2 linked regions of the Oreochromis niloticus genome follow. The protein of the gene in region 2 binds, or shares a complex with, the protein of the main gene of each other region. Links are inferred from orthologs where the notes say so. Each region holds a gene or a part of one and is shown on either strand. Other genes may lie near its edges.

Region 1 (7,615 bases), on a different chromosome or scaffold from region 2:
GTATCTCAGCTCCCTATCTTATGATTGTTTTACAGCGGGTCCTGCATTACAGGAATAAATTAGCTGTTTGCTTACTTGCGCTGCACTGAGTGCATCACTGAGTGGGTGACTAATTCAGATGAAACGCAAACCATGACAGAGGAAAGAGAAAATCCCCTCCTCCTCATTGCTCTTTATCTTTTCCCTCTTTGTCTCACACAGGCGTCTCCCCTGGACCACCTTCTTTACTCACTAATTAATTAGTTCAAAGAACATTAGGGAAAAAAAATCTTTGTATACTGCATTTCTTGCCCACAGACACAAACACTGTGGGCAAGTTGAATTTACGCTTTTTCTGCTCCATGCTCTGTTTGTGGAACAAAGACCTTCCACTTTTGTGGAGTGAGCTGATATCTGTAGAGCTGTCACAGCTGTGTACACCTCTCCACCCACTGTCTCAGTACATTTATTGACTCAATGTATTTTTTTTTTGCCTTTAATCTCAGTCAAAATGCACATTATTAGAGAAAAGCACACAAGTCCATCTGACCCTTGCACACTTGCCTTTGCTTGTGTGTCTGATTCTAAAGAACCTCGTCCCTTCACACACTGAGGAAAGTTTTCCTTTTAAAGTTTAAACACTGACTCTCCCATAGTTTTCCCGGCAGTAAAAATGTATCTGGGCTCTTATGGGTTAATGTCCTGAATGCTTTTTTAATGCCCTTCCATCCATTTAAAAGGGTTTATTTCATGGATGAGATATAGAGCAGAATCTGTGCGACCTGTATCAACTAAAAGGCTCAGGTCGTTCAACATTTGTAAGGCCTTGCTGTTTATATCACTTGCCATCACTCTGTGGTGGCAAGTGTGGTGTTCTATGCAGGAGTGTTCGGCAGGATGAAAGCTGCTAATGTCAACAGACTGAATAAATTCATCTTGAAGACTGATTCTGGGAGTAAAACTCGAAGACTCGGGTAGAGGTGTCTAAGAGGAGAATGCTGAAGAAATCCCTCATCATTATGACTAATACATCCCACCTGATGTATACGTCTCTGATTGGTCACCACAGAGCAGTCTCATTTTACCACATGGGAGCATTATTACATTATCACTAGTAATTTATTCTCTATTAAATTAAAAGTGATACTGTAACAGAATTACTTATAATTCACATAAGTGATATGGTGGTAAACTGAAAGTGATCATTTAATTCTTGTTAACTTATCACTGTAATAGATGGTTGTAGCTATTCATCAATTTTATTTGGGAATAATATTCATATTTGCCTATTTCCACTACTGTACATACTGATATTTAGATTTGTTTTAAAATCGTTTAAATTTTTTTTATTTAGCTTTATTTTTACCTGAGCTTTATTTTGTTATGTTAAAATTCAGTTTTGCTTTGTGCATGCTGATTTGTGCACAAATGAGCAGTGTACAAACCAGCTTGCGCCAGTCAAAGGTCCGAGGTAACTGGCCACACATCTCCAGCTATTGGCAAAGGGGTTAGGTCTTTTTGTTCCGAGTTTTAATTAAAGAGCAGGGAAATTGCTATAGCTATAATGACTTCAGGACTTACTTTTGCGGGTGATCTGTGTGTTTGCTGTGGGAGGATGAAAGTAAAAATGAAAGGTTAGAATAACTGGTGCATAGGAGAAGTACTTTTATTAAGAATTAGCTCTTACCCATAGAGCGCCTCCCCATCAGACCGATAAACTGATGTGGCTTTGGCTTTCTTGTCATTCTCAGCAGGGCTTCTCTGAACGGGTCGTCGGAAATCCAGCCATTCTGAGTGGAGGGGGAGAAGGAATGCTTACACTGAGAAGCAGAGTGGAGTGAGAGTGGATCTTATCTTTATAAAAATTTAGTGTCATCAAACTATACCTCAACTGTGTTAATACCTTATCTACCTGCTCACGTCATTATAACAAGAGAATAAAGCGGAATTCTGCCAGAACCTTATCTTAATCAATATTAGCTGACAGTCCCACCCACCGGTCCACCCACATAAAATACACCGAGTAATGCAGAATGAATTTGGATCTTTTCTTGCGATTTTCTGTTTCCATCTCAGGATTATATTCATGCAGTATGCATTAGTGTGACTGGCAATATGGATCTTTGCGCTACTAATGTCCCGCACAGAGAGATGATGCCCGTTGTGACAAAGTGCCGATATATCCAGTCGCTCCTAAAGTGTGATTAAGCTAATATATGAGCCTTTATATACGCCTTTTCAGTAAATTTGTGTATACATATAATTTTAATATTTTTTTAAAAATACAAATATGCAACCCTACAAGTGTGACGCTGGGGTTTAACATACGTCTGTAAGGGGATGTCTTTGTTCTCACAAAAAGGAAGAAAAAAAAAAACTTAAGTCAAACTAATTTCCTTATGCCTGTTAGGTGGTATATAAATTTATTCTGCTTTCATCCACTGAAGGAGACTAAAAGACGAGCTACTTTAATAGTAGTATTTATGAATTATTAAGGAGAGAGTATAACTCTGAATACATACCTGGATTTGATTAGTGCTCGTCCAGTAATCAGTGTCCTCTTTTGGGTCATTTTCTTCGCCGGAAACTTGGGCGGCGGCGATGAGAACCATTAAAACTGCTACAAGCAGAGACTTCATGATCTCGCAGCTTTTCTCTCACTCTACAACAATAAGCACTCTAATACCCAATGTATCACGATAACAGTTATCAGTCAGCAGAAATAAAGCGAGGTGAATGAAACAGGTGTGTGAGCACCAGAAGGAGCTGGAGTGTGCGCTGTTTCTTCCTCCACAAATCAACAGTAGTCCATAGCGCGTAGCCTGTGTCACAGCACTATCTCCAGCGCTGTCTGCGCACTCAGCTTCTAGAGCTGTTTGTTTCGTAAGGTCTCCGATCCGTACGCTCCTATATACCGGTGTGAATAGTGTTGCTAAGTAACGCCTTAACAGTACTATGATTACTTGAGTGAAGTTTCGGTAAGCAGCCTGTTAAGCGCAGTGATCAGAACCTGTTGTGCGTCACCGGACTTCACCGTCACTATTATGAAGAATGATGGTGACGTCATAAAGTACTGTTATCCAGCTTTCAGTCACAGTAAAAAGTCCGCTTTTCGTTGTCACAGCGCCCAAAACTTAAAAGTTGCTCCAACATGTCTGGGCCATTTGATTTAACGTTTTTTCATTGTTTGAATACTTTTGATGGAGGCCAGTATTATAGGGATATTTCTACCTAATGCTCAGTTTAAGAACATTTGTATTTAACATTTAATTTATCATTTATTCATGAAGTTTTATTGCACCAAAGGAGGAGAGTGCGTTAGTGTAGTGCAAAAAGCATCTGCATTATGCAAAAGAACTTGCAAGCGTCTCCACAGACAGCATGCTAACGCTAAGCTAGCCAAGAACTGGGAGTAATGTAAAAGCTGAGTGTTTGTCAACCCAAGCCCAGCTGCCAGACCCTGAACTTCAACAGGTAACAAATGAATGAACAGACAGACTGCATCCTCCATTTCTACAGTACAATCACCGTGGTGATCGTTTGAAGTCTTTCTGGGCTGGTTTTCATCTTTCCCAGATAGCAAGATGAGATTGAGTTAATGTTGATTTTTCATCTGAATCATCATTATGGCCAAAATATGCTAAAATCCATATTAAAATACAGATGATACCTGACAGTGTAACAGTAATGACACTGGAATAACATTGATTCAAAGTTCTCATGTTATAACTGAATGATTATTGATCTGTTTATAGTTGACCAGGCGACAACCAAGGCATTGAAAAGTAATGGATTCCTAGTTGACCTGGAAATTAAAACTATTATCAGCTGGACTGTTCCATGGGACCCCTCTCAAAGTCATTCGTCTATGGCTGACTGGGAAATTATATTGAAATTAGGTGGATTTATAGTTGACTGGGAAAATGTATTGAAATTCCATTGACTTACACTTGAAAAGTTGCAAAAATGAGCAAGATGGCAGCGTGTACGGACATATTCAGCAGCACAGCGCACCCAACTACTGTGCACCTCTTTGGGTTTTTTATGCCTTTTCACTGCGTCCTCCTGCAATGCACTGATCACTTTGTATTGTTGCCTCTACTTTTAAGATTAGGCTTAAACTTTCCTTTTTGGTAAAACGTATAGTTAGAGCTGGATCAGGTCTGAATTGGGCTGCGTGCTTATGTGGTTCAGGACTGGTGCTATAACAGCAAAATTATAGAAAGTCACTGCTCACCGGACTTAGACACCAGGTCCATTCAGTGCAGAAGCTTCTATCTACCTCGGGAGTTAACGGTAGCCATAGTTGCCATTGTTTACATCCCCCCCAGTGCTAATGTTAGCTCAGCACTCAACCACATTCAACTTCTTATCAGTAAAAACCAGAGACAGCACACAGAGGGTGTCCAAATTGTTGCTGCAGACTTTAATAAGGCATTTTTGAAATCTGTACTCCCCAAATTCCCCCAGCATGTTATGTATCCTACCAGGGGGGGCAGGACACTGAACCACGTATACAGCAACATCCAGCATGTCTACAAAGCGACACCCCTCCCCCACCTGGGACAATCTGACCACCTCATTCTGCTTTTTATGCCTGCATATATCCCCCTCAGGAAACAAACCCCTCCAAGCATCTGGGTCATTAAACATGGTCTGTTCCCTCCAACATGTTCCCTCCAAGAACATGAGGTCAGAGGGAAACTGAGAGTGGCAAACCCCAGGAGAGCTGCCAGTCCCCGACAACATCCCAGGGGCTGTGTCTAAAGCCTGCGCGGACCAACTGGCAGGGATCCTCACCGGGCTTTTCAACCTCTCCCTGACTCAGGCAACGATTCCCACCTGTCTGAAGGCCTCCACTATCATTCCCATCCCCCAAAAGGCTGGTATAGGCAGCCATAATGCCTACAGACCTATAGCCCTCACGTCTGTAGTCATGAAGTGTTTTGAGCCGGCAGTGCCTCAGCACATCTGAGACTGGCCACTCCCCTCCCTTGACCCCCCACCAGTTTGCTTACAGAGCAAATTGGTCCATGGCGGATGCCATCACCACCGCTCTTCACAAAGCACTGAGCGAAGAACAGGAAGACATCCTCACCACCAAACTGGACCACCTTCAGATCCCCGTGCTGACTGCTCCTCACTAAGTGGCCCCAATCACTCCCTTTGCACTGCTTCCAAGCACTTTGCTACCCAATGTGTGTATATCACTCTTGATTGGATATATTTCTCTTGATGGTGTATATATTTATTCTGTTTGCTATTTATTCCTGTATTTATTTTTTATATATACATATTTTTTTACTCCTGCACAGTTGGCATGGAGCATATGCTCCATATATATCAAAATGCCATTTATTTATAGTTGAAAAATCATGTATTTGTAGTTCACTATGAAATTAAAGCTATTATTGCTTGAACTATTTCCCTCTCACTGTGGTACACCCCATTGGTTCAGTAGTCATTAAGTTGACCAGCAGATGATATTTAAAAATCAAAACCAAAGAGGTGACTGCATTTTGAATACAAACCTTGAAAGACAGAAATTATTACAACCACTCCGAGTAGCTGAACTTCAGCTCTTTGGAAAGCACCTGCAACACACAGCATGTATACTAAGATAATCAAGAGTGGCATTACAGCTGAGTGAATGCCAACCCCAGCCCAGCAGCCACACTCTGAACTTCAACATAAAACAAACAGATGATCAATCAGGCTGCAGCCTCTGTTTCTTCCTGTTCATGTTTCTAAAGTAGTGATCACTGTAACAATCACTGTTAAGTCTCTTTATGCTAGTTTTCATCTTTGCTTTGTGCTGTGGGCCTGTGTAATACCAAGAGAAAGCTCATATGTGTGTCCTCATGAGTACAGGGATAAATTATGAGACAATGCCTTTTAGGTAATTTTACAGCATCACATTAAAGTAATTTAATGAGTAATATAAGGAATTACTTTATCCTGGGAGTAATTACGCATTGTGCTGCATTATTTTTGAGAAAAGTGTTCAATGTAATATGTGCAATAGTTACTTTTTTGGGTAATGACCCCAACATCGATCACAACAAAGAGTGGAAATACCTCCAACACAGAGTCGCTAAATTCTTAACAGTTCTCATCGCTAGGTAACACAAACATAACTCAATTTTAAAATCACCGCCACTTTACGAGGCACAGAGCCATCACATCATTAGTGAAGCTACAGACTGAATCTGCCAGTAGCAACAATCCCAATGCGATTTCTCTAATTGCATGTTCTAGTTTGATTTGTAAAATTTGGTTTCATATGTAAGAAATGCATGTTGGTATACATATGTCAGAAGCAAGATTTTATAAGTTCAGAATGGGTATTAATTTATAATTTACATAAATTACACATTGAGAAGGCAGCTGACTGAGTCACGTAGATATGTATCCTAATTTTTAATTTATGCACCAGTGTTTCACACTTTATATTTTTAGTTGTTCACATTTTTGTAGCTCAGTATAAGAACCTTGTTCCTTACATTAATATCATAAACTTTTTTTTCAGGAGTGGATCCCTGCATGTTCAGAATAACAGAATCATACACAAAATGTAATATTGAGAACAGGCCACTTGTGACCATGATGATCGCCGGGTGCAGGAGGGAAGTGTTCTGTCATATGAGCTGGTAGTCTTGACCAGAGATGGAAGTATTTGGCAGTATTTAAGACCAGTGCTTACAACTAGTCTTTGCCAGTTCGTCTGCTAACCCATGTTGAGATTTTGGCCAACACATTTTAAGTTCCTGTTTTGCCTACCTTGTGTCTCCTTGTATTTTAGTTTCTCACAGATCTCCATTGCTCCAACCTGGCAAGAACCTCACTTACCTGCTGGTCACTGTGAGATTATTATATTATCTTATGCCATGTTATACCCCTGATTAATGATTGTGAAATTATTATGTAGTTTTAGTTTGCTTTATTCTCCTGAAGAGGTGATAACTATTAGATTTATTAAACTGATTTGTATTAGATTAGACTGCTGATTTATAGTGAATGAATGATATTGTTTTATGATGCATTATACTGCTGAGTTATAAGAAATACCGTTTTCAGAGAGTCATGGCCTTATTTGTCTGATTAGAAGAGAACAGAACATACCAGAGAGGTTTTCTGCCCCATCTCATCAGGAGGAGATAAAACAAGGAGCCGAGGTCATAACTTAGGCGGCGTGTGAGAGAAAGAATGTGAATGTTTAGATTTTTACGACTAGGTGCGGGCCACTAGAGGCTATAAGAGGCTGAGTAACCCTCCACCAGTTTTAGATTTGCTGTGACCCTCTTCATGCATCTCTCCCCATCTGCATGGCTTGTGCTCATAAGTGTTAAATTGTATGGAAATAAATAATTGTTGATTGAGCATTTACACACCGAGTATTGTCCTTCCTTCAGCCCAAAGATGAAAAGAATTGGGAGATTACATCACTCCTCTGAATCTCACACCACTGGTTCATGCTCTGTTTCCGTTGCTCTTCATCTGCCTGCCCTCCTGCCACATTCACCTTGGATCACCGTACCTCTCAGGCTGGACTTTCACATCTCATGTTCCCTGAACTTAAGTATTTACCTTGTGCTCGTAAACAAAGCTTTGCTGAAAATCTGTTTCTTGCGCTTCC
Region 2 (8,132 bases):
TTGGACTATGGGAGGAAGCCAGAGTGCCCAAACGTCACACAGACAGCCCCCAAGCTCACCCATGGATTCAAATATACGACCTTCTTGGTTAAAGGCAACAGTGCTAACCACTGCACCACCATGCCAGTGAAATGCCATCCATCCATTCTCTTCAACTCATCCTTTTCGGGGTCAGCTCTCTTAGGTAGAGAGGCAGGGTGCACCCTGGGTAGGTCGCCAGTCTAACACATAGAGACAGACAACCATTTGCACTTACATTCACACCTCTGGGCAATTTAGAATTACCAATTAACCTATCCCCGTTAACTGCATATCTTTGGAATGTGGGAAGAAGCCAGAGTACCCAGACAGAACCCACACAAACACAGAGAGAACATGCAAATTCCACACAGAAAGACCCTGGCCTGATGGTGGAATTGAACTCAGGACCTTCTTGCTGTGAGGCAACAGTGCTAACCATGAATTTTGATTAAATTTAATCATCAAAATACTGAGGAATACATTTGTGTGTTATAGTCTTTTTCCCACTACAGTAATCAGAGGCTTTAGGTTTGTACTGTTTTGCTACTTTGACAAATTCTCTTACTTCCCTCTACCCAAAATCCAGGGCGAAAGAAATTGAAAACTCCATTTTATAAAGGACCCAATGAATCCACATACAGCCCCAGTAGATTTTTCTACAGCTGAGTTTGTTTTGTTTTTTTCCCAATTACCTCAATACAGTCAGCATTGGAGCAGCACACTGATTTGAGCACGCAGCTGTACTGCTGATCTGTGGGCAGTGCAGTGCAAGAGCACCCCAGAAACACGGAGGAAAAGGATGGAGATAAGAAAAGAAACGTCTTATCAGCTACAGCAACACTGCTCCACCTCCCCCGTTTAACACATTCATCAAACATACGATCAACAGACAGAAATGATTTTATATCTATGTCATTAAGAGATGAAATGTTAACTGTGAAGGTAGTGCTGTTTGTGAATGATGGGTCACAGTGGGTGTCTACCTCCAGCTTAATCATCAACATCTCTGAAATATTTTGAAATACTATCTTTTCCTAGCTGCATACATGTGGGGCCTTCAAGGTAAAGGTAAGGTTCCTCTACGAGGATTTTAAAATCATGGTTATGTTGCGTGGATGCGTGTGGATAGCTAGATTCCTATATCACCTGATTGGCAAACTCCTCGTAACAGCATGTTTGCAGTGAGCAGACTGAATATAGCATGTGTGGTTGCTTCCCTTTTGCTCTCTGTTCAGCTCTAACAATCTCTCACTTAATCTTGGAAAGTTCAGATTAATGGTGTTCCACAGTGAGACAATTAGTAGCTATTATGTCCTGAGATGCAGAAAATACAGAGCTGCAAACACAGCTTCATGTGGTTAAGCAAGAAAATGGATGTCTCAAATGTACACCCACCCACATCCACCCACACTTACAGATAACACATATAAACATGTTTCAAACTGGGCAATGCACATATTTTCACACACTCCTTCCTGCACACAGAGAGAATTACCTACATGGAAATATAGATAGATACTTCACAGATTTACATACACAACACACAAGGACAACAACACACATTTATCACTCACACAAACACCTACTCAAATAGAGCAGTGCTTTCTATCCATTCATTTTCATTCAGGATTATTATGGTGCCGCCCCATTGGTGCAACGTGTTCCTACACAAGGTTGCTCATTAAGAGCGAGCAAAGCCTTAGAAATGAAGAAATATTTTCCCCCAGAGGATATATTTTCAGTAACAGGAGTATACATGAAGACATAAAATGAATGCACAAAACGTTTAGCAACAGCTTTGCTTTTCTTTTTTTCTTATTTGATAAGGGTTTGATCCAGAAGGCAATAAACCATTAACCATGGCTGTTTATTGCGCTTCCTGTGCGTCACGCATTGTTTCGCCATATGCAAACAAAAGAGGCAGCGAAGGACAACAAATACTGTCAGTATTACTTTTACACCAACTAGTGAAGGAAGTTTCTCATGGAATTTCAAACATTTTTCCAAAGAGCACGGAGTCCGTAATATTTAACCATACGAGTAAAAACAATATGAAAGCATTTGCACCTTTTTTCTTTTCTTTCTTTCTTTTTTTTTTTTTTTTTTTTTACCACACCTATACGCTCTTAGAAATCAACAGTAGTCTGTTTTCATAATGATCGATATGTATGGATGTACTCTTCACTTTCTTGGAATTTTGAAACATAAACTGTACAGTGAATGGCCAGATTTTATTAGACGGTCTCGGGTGTTTACGGGTGTTTTCCAGTACCAAACATTTGGGGTACATTTCTCGTGTATTCTGAAAGCAGACTGGCTGTGAAAACAGAAGCTTACCTGTCCAGAGCGATGGCAGTCATTGAATAGATGCTGGCAAACACAGCCGCGATCGGAAAGAAGTTGTGGAAGCGGCAGTAGTCGAGTCCAAAGTACCACTCGTTGTGCACCGCGTAGGTGAAGTTGATCACCGTGTTGAATGCAGACATGGACGCTTCGGCGAACGCGAGGTTCAGGAGAAAATAATTGGTGACAGTCCTCATGCGTTTGTGCGCCATAATAATCCAGATGACTGTGATGTTACCTACTACGGACACGATAACTATACAGCTGTAGGCAATGGCCCAGAGGACGATTTTCCAGACCGGCTGCACAAACTGGTTCCAGTAAATGGTCCCGTTATTGGTGTCATTGGAGCTGCTGGTCCAATTTGGCGCATTGGTGGTACTAAATAAAAGATCCATTTTACTGTTTACAAGCGAAATTGTCACTAAATAACCCCAATTAATTACACGACTAAGTTAACGATTCCAAACGCAAAGTGAATGTTGGAAAGTTTCCGAAAGCTTCACGCTCGTTTCTAAGTGTACAGTTGTAGTCTGCGGAGAGTCCGCTCTCCTACAAATAATAAAGTCAACGAATCAGAAAAAGTATTTGAAGTCGAAACTTCCATATTAATCTTTGCACGTTTCCCCCTTTTTGCTGTGCGTAAAAACAGAAAGGCGTCTTTTACGCGCACCAGAACGAGTCTGGCAATTTTAACAGCTCAGCTCCGTCTGTGTCTCTCTCCTTGTCTGTGTGCTGTCCTCCCGCTGCTCCTCTGCTCCGACTGAGCGGCTGCACACCAGCTTTTGAAGAGAGCTTCTGCGCTCCCGTCCAACAGGCTGGCTCGGTAATTATGATTACGGATTCAGGTGACTTCTTCAGTGCACCCATGTAGGCTGTAAGGGGATGCCAGCTAGATTACTACGCCTAAATACTTTATCTGATGTAATTTTATTATAATTCCTTCACGGACAATTTCAGTTATTATGTACAATAATAACAATATATACAATCTTTTTTGGCATTGTTCGTGCAATTTGAAAATAAAAGATAAATACCACTTGTGAAAATATGTTACTTCATAATTACAATGTAAGATAAGGAAACATTGTTTGACTTCTTTTCAAATGACCCCAAATTTACACATTACATAAAAATTACTTACTGCACAATTTATGTCTCTTTTAACACTCATGGCGTTCTCACTACCTAAAGTACTGTTAAATTTGTCACTTCTTGGTTCTGGTTTACATTATGAAAATGACCTTTTTTTCTTACTGTGGCTTGTTGTGTAGAGTGATGGGGTGCCATAATGAACACCTAGTTCCTCTCACTCACTACCCCCTCTTGTGGTCTTGGATTCTGGACTGGAGAGGTTTGATTGAAGATTGATTGTTTCACAGGATATAAATGAAAAACCTGCAGTCCTGCCATTCTTTTCACAAGGTTCTTCGTACAGTCCTTACATATGTTCATATCATATCATATCATATCATATCATTGGGGATATGGGGAATGAGGACCCAGTCGCGGTGCTCTGTGTGTGAACAGTGCGTTTATTTACAGTGAGGTAACAGATGCACAATAAACCCCCTTTGCTCCCTAGACTCCCGTGTGTGTGTTCCCCTCTGACGTCCGTGCTCGTGCTCCCGGCAGTTGTGTTTCTGCACACCCTGTGCGTGCTGCCCTTCTGGTCCCTCGTTCCACCTGCAGGACAATAACAGAAGCGGCCGTTAACACTGACCCCGCGCATACACACGATCCGTACTACCTAATGCTACACACACTGACTTGGAGTCTAGCTCAATGATCCCGCGCCGGTGGGAGCTCCAACACTCTCCTAAATAGCTCCCCCGACGAGCCCAGATCAGCAGCAGGTGTGTGGCAGGGACTTCAGGTGTGGCCAGTCCTCCAGCAGGGCCACACCCATCAGGCCTGCAGGTGGCTGTCCTCCATCCTACAGCCACACCTATACACCCACACCCTGCCTATACATATAACGAGTGGACCACAGAATAACACAGCATTGTGCAGACAAACACACATCCCCAAATAACCATAATAATAATAATAATAATGATGATAATAATAATAATGGTCCATCCTGTTCACGGACCCCCGAGTCCTCCAGAGCCGGGTCCGTGACAATCATATCATATCATGAGATGATCAGACATATATTGCTAAGATAATATACCAATAGGGCTTTCATGGTAAGATGTTAATGACAATGAGATAGATGTGGGCATTGTCCTGTCTTTATATCTAGCCAGAAAGATCTGTCTTTAGGTCTGTCAGGAAAAGTAATGTGAGAGAATGAATGAACTCATTAAGAGGATTTCTTTGCAGCTTGCCATTGAACTATTTACGGTACTGAAAGACTAGAGAGTGTGACAAGAAGGAACCAAAACTCCTATCACTGGAATAAGGGAGTCTTTAGTGCCAAAAATGTTGTAGCTGTGATAAATATTTTAACTATCTGGCATTTATACAGTGTTTCTCTAGTCTTACTGACCTCTCAACGGTCTTCACCACATTTACATAACTGACATTTACATTACAATAAGATCTGAATTGAGTTTAACACTTTTTGATTCATAATATAATACAGTACTTACACCTGCTTTAAATTCTTTAGAGGATTTTCTTTTCCTTTATATTCAGTTTGCTTTTTTACTGAGGAAAGAGTCCTCTGAGCTGCTTCAGTCTTGAGCACATAGTTATTCACTCAGTAAGATGCTTGTATGACTTGACTATCTCTGAGCTTGTCTTGTAGACATCAAATAGAATTCCATGAACAGTCTGTACCTTCCAAATGTGATAAGACTCATCTCTTTATTTAAAGCCAAAAATTCGAGGCCACCATGTCTTACTATAATAGAAATTTAGTGATTACCAGAATAATACTGCATTCTTGTGAATGCATTCACAACTTTGATACTCCAGTATTTTCTATCTTTATTACCGCTGCTCCTTTCATTGGTTTCTTGAATGCTCACTCTGTGTGAATGCTAACTACCCAGCACCCAGCTGGGTACTTATGTAGCCCCACTCTTTTAGTGCCCATTTGTTTATTGCCTTATTAAGAAAAAAAGGGGTTATTTGTATTTTGACTGTGTTCAGTCATTTATTAGCTATACATTTTAAAGAAATTAGTATTTTATTCTAATGGTGTCAGGTCAGAAATACTCCTTTAGGCTTTGCCCCATGATAGTTGTAAAGGTCATATTTCATAAAGTCTTTAATTAGTTAATTCCCCCTGAACAAGTTGTCCTCTTTTTTCTTTTCATACCGCGCCCCCCCTCCCCCCCTAGGGGGCGGGCCCCACACTTTGGGAACCTCTGCCCTAGAAGACCTTTCTAAAGTGTCCATGGGCATTACACTGTTGCTCTCTTGTGCTGAGTTTAACTTCTTGAGTCTCATTAGCCATGATTTGTTCCCGCTGTGTCCTGCTGTCTCCCACCTGTTTGCCCCTTGCCTCATTGCTGTGTGTATAAATTGTCTGAGTCTCTACTTGCCATTTGTCATGTCATCCGGTTTTCCGCAGCCTGTTTCCAGCTTCCAATTCAACTCAATTCATTTAAATAGCACCAAATCACAACAACAGTTCCCTCAAGACACTTTATATTGTAAAGACGCTACAATAATAAAAGTTCCAGTTTATGTTACTTTACATCCTGTGGTGTGTAGTGCTTCTGTAGATTTCCTTGCTCCCAGTGTTTACCCCATGTTCCCGCTTTTCCTGCTGGAGTTTTGATTTATATTAAATAAAAGCTTGTTTTCGGTTAACATTTGTCCATGAGTCTGCATTTTGGTTCCTCAGTCTACATGACATATGACTTTAACCAGTTTATCCTGCCCTAAATATCCCCAGTTTTCCATGCAACCCCTGAATAACACAAAAATTGGTGTAATTCAAGAACACAATTAAGCAACACAGCATGTATATATCCAGTTATCTAATTTAAAAACTCTAAACTTAATTAGGACATTATAAATAATCTTTAAATTTCCAGTTTATAGAAAGTCACTTGTTGAGCGACACTTACCTTTGAAAATAATCTGTCATCTTTCCCTCCTGTCCTCGCTTTCTTACTTTCTCCACCTACCAGGACACAATATGTGAAAAGCTGTTGTGTGATATTTATTGAGCATTTCAATGCATTTCAATTTACCTTCATCTTCACTTGTAGCAGTAGCTAGCTGCTGAAGTATCACAAACACAGTTTTGACACATGGACCAGAATGCATCACAGGAACGAGAAGGAAAAGGAATTTGTTGAAGGTGTAAGAGGAAACATGAGGTGTCATTTGATCTTTCAGATGTTAATCAAGCACACTGTTCAGGCAAAAATAGTGGTAAACTAGCTTGAGATCTATCAAGCAGAAATTCTGCTAAAGTTTTCTAAAACAACAAAAATGGACTTGTATAACTTTGGAAGTACAATAAGATCAAAAAATAAAATACCTGAAAGCATTTGGAGGGTTCATGAAGAGAGCCTAGTTAACAGAGCATTGAATTATCCTCACCCTAATCTCCATACTGAAATATTATTTCTCTTTTATGAAGAGTTACAATACTGTAGTGTACAACATGAGCCTTTGAAGGCTTGGGTTAAAGGTGTTCTGAAAGAATTATTCCTATTTATTAAAATATGAATATTTTTATGAGTATGACAGAGCACTGGTGCAAGATAAGAGTCTCAACCTTAAACAGTAGATGTTTAGTACTAAAAGCAGCATTTTCTAAGGTGGATCGTTGCCCAGAATGCTAAATAGCTTCCTAAACCCCATTAACCTTGACAATGTCAGTGATGTAATTACTGACACCAGATTTTCACTTTGCAATTACCATGGTAAATAAATGAATGTAAAACTTTGTTATGTGTCACAAACAAATACACCCAAAAAAGTGCATGGAGGTGGTTTTTAACCATAACTTTGAAGCATGCATTGGTTTTATTTTAGAAATGAAATCTTGATGTCATGTCAAACACACATGCAAAGACATGCACAGCTGGACATAGTTTACAATAAGGTAACAGAGTATACAGGACAAGCATTTATGAAGTATTTGTCCTTGTAGACAAAGATCGTTGTTTTGAAGCATGTTAGTATTGCTGTACTGCTTGGGCCCATGATCTCAGTGTTGTTCTTTTTTGCCACTATTAAAAACAGAATGAAATGTCTGTTATCACCCAGCGGGACAGGGAACTACACAAGGGAAGCATACCATTTTGTGCAATGTGACAGTGGTTTCATTCCTGACAGCTGTCTGGTTTTCTGCAATTTTTACTTTGACTTTAATATCATTGAATTGTGGCCAAACTGGGCCAAAAGTTCGTCAGTGACACCAGCAACATACTAATTAAAAAAAAAAAAAAAAGATATTCTCCGAAAATAAATTATTGATAGCATCCAACTGTGTCGATTTTGCTTCTGCTCAAGGACATTGCAGTTGTCTCCAGGGAAGCTTCGATCCCCTCTTAAATGTCCACTTCATCACAACAGTCAGAGCACCATCCTGGAGAATAAAGGTGTGAGAAGAAGCCACAGCTATGAATGATAACAGACTGGCACGCACAACAGTTAAATATTCCTACTCATTTCCAACTCCATCCACATTTCACTGCACAGCTCTAGCCATGAAATTACCAGGTCAGTCTGAATAACTTTCCCTTCTAAGGCATGCATGCAGGATGGGAAATGTACTTCTATGTATATAAATATATAGTCCTCTACATTCATTAAAAGTGTGTGCACTGAAATATCTTACATATAATTAAATT

The links.
Region 1: the proteins of tacr1a (region 2) and tac1 are in contact, whole or in part, in a cryo-EM structure (PDB 7P02), measured with the Homo sapiens proteins. The link is inferred for Oreochromis niloticus from reciprocal best matches to the Homo sapiens genes TACR1 and TAC1. Residues at the interface, in NP_001049.1 of Homo sapiens: Gln24, Phe25, Asn85, Asn89, Tyr92, Ala93, Asn96, Trp98, His108, Asn109, Ile113, Gln165, Met174, Arg177, Val179, Cys180, Met181, Ile182, His197, Val200, Phe264, Phe267, Phe268, Tyr278, Leu279, Ile283, Gln284, Tyr287, Met291; in NP_003173.1 of Homo sapiens: Lys60, Pro61, Gln62, Gln63, Phe64, Phe65, Gly66, Leu67, Met68.

Annotation. Positions count from the first base shown.
Region 1 is NC_031985.2:36,816,486-36,824,100, forward strand, and holds the start of tac1 (protachykinin-1), read right to left. Parts: upstream 3,003-7,615; 5' UTR 2,619-3,002; coding exon 2,502-2,618; intron 1,770-2,501; coding exon 1,667-1,769; intron 1,585-1,666; coding exon 1,561-1,584; intron 1-1,560. UniProt on the Homo sapiens protein: Tachykinins are active peptides which excite neurons, evoke behavioral responses, are potent vasodilators and secretagogues, and contract (directly or indirectly) many smooth muscles.
Region 2 is NC_031977.2:5,950,015-5,958,146, reverse strand, and holds the start of tacr1a (tachykinin receptor 1a), read right to left. Parts: upstream 3,165-8,132; 5' UTR 2,763-3,164; coding exon 2,359-2,762; intron 1-2,358. UniProt on the Homo sapiens protein: This is a receptor for the tachykinin neuropeptide substance P. It is probably associated with G proteins that activate a phosphatidylinositol-calcium second messenger system.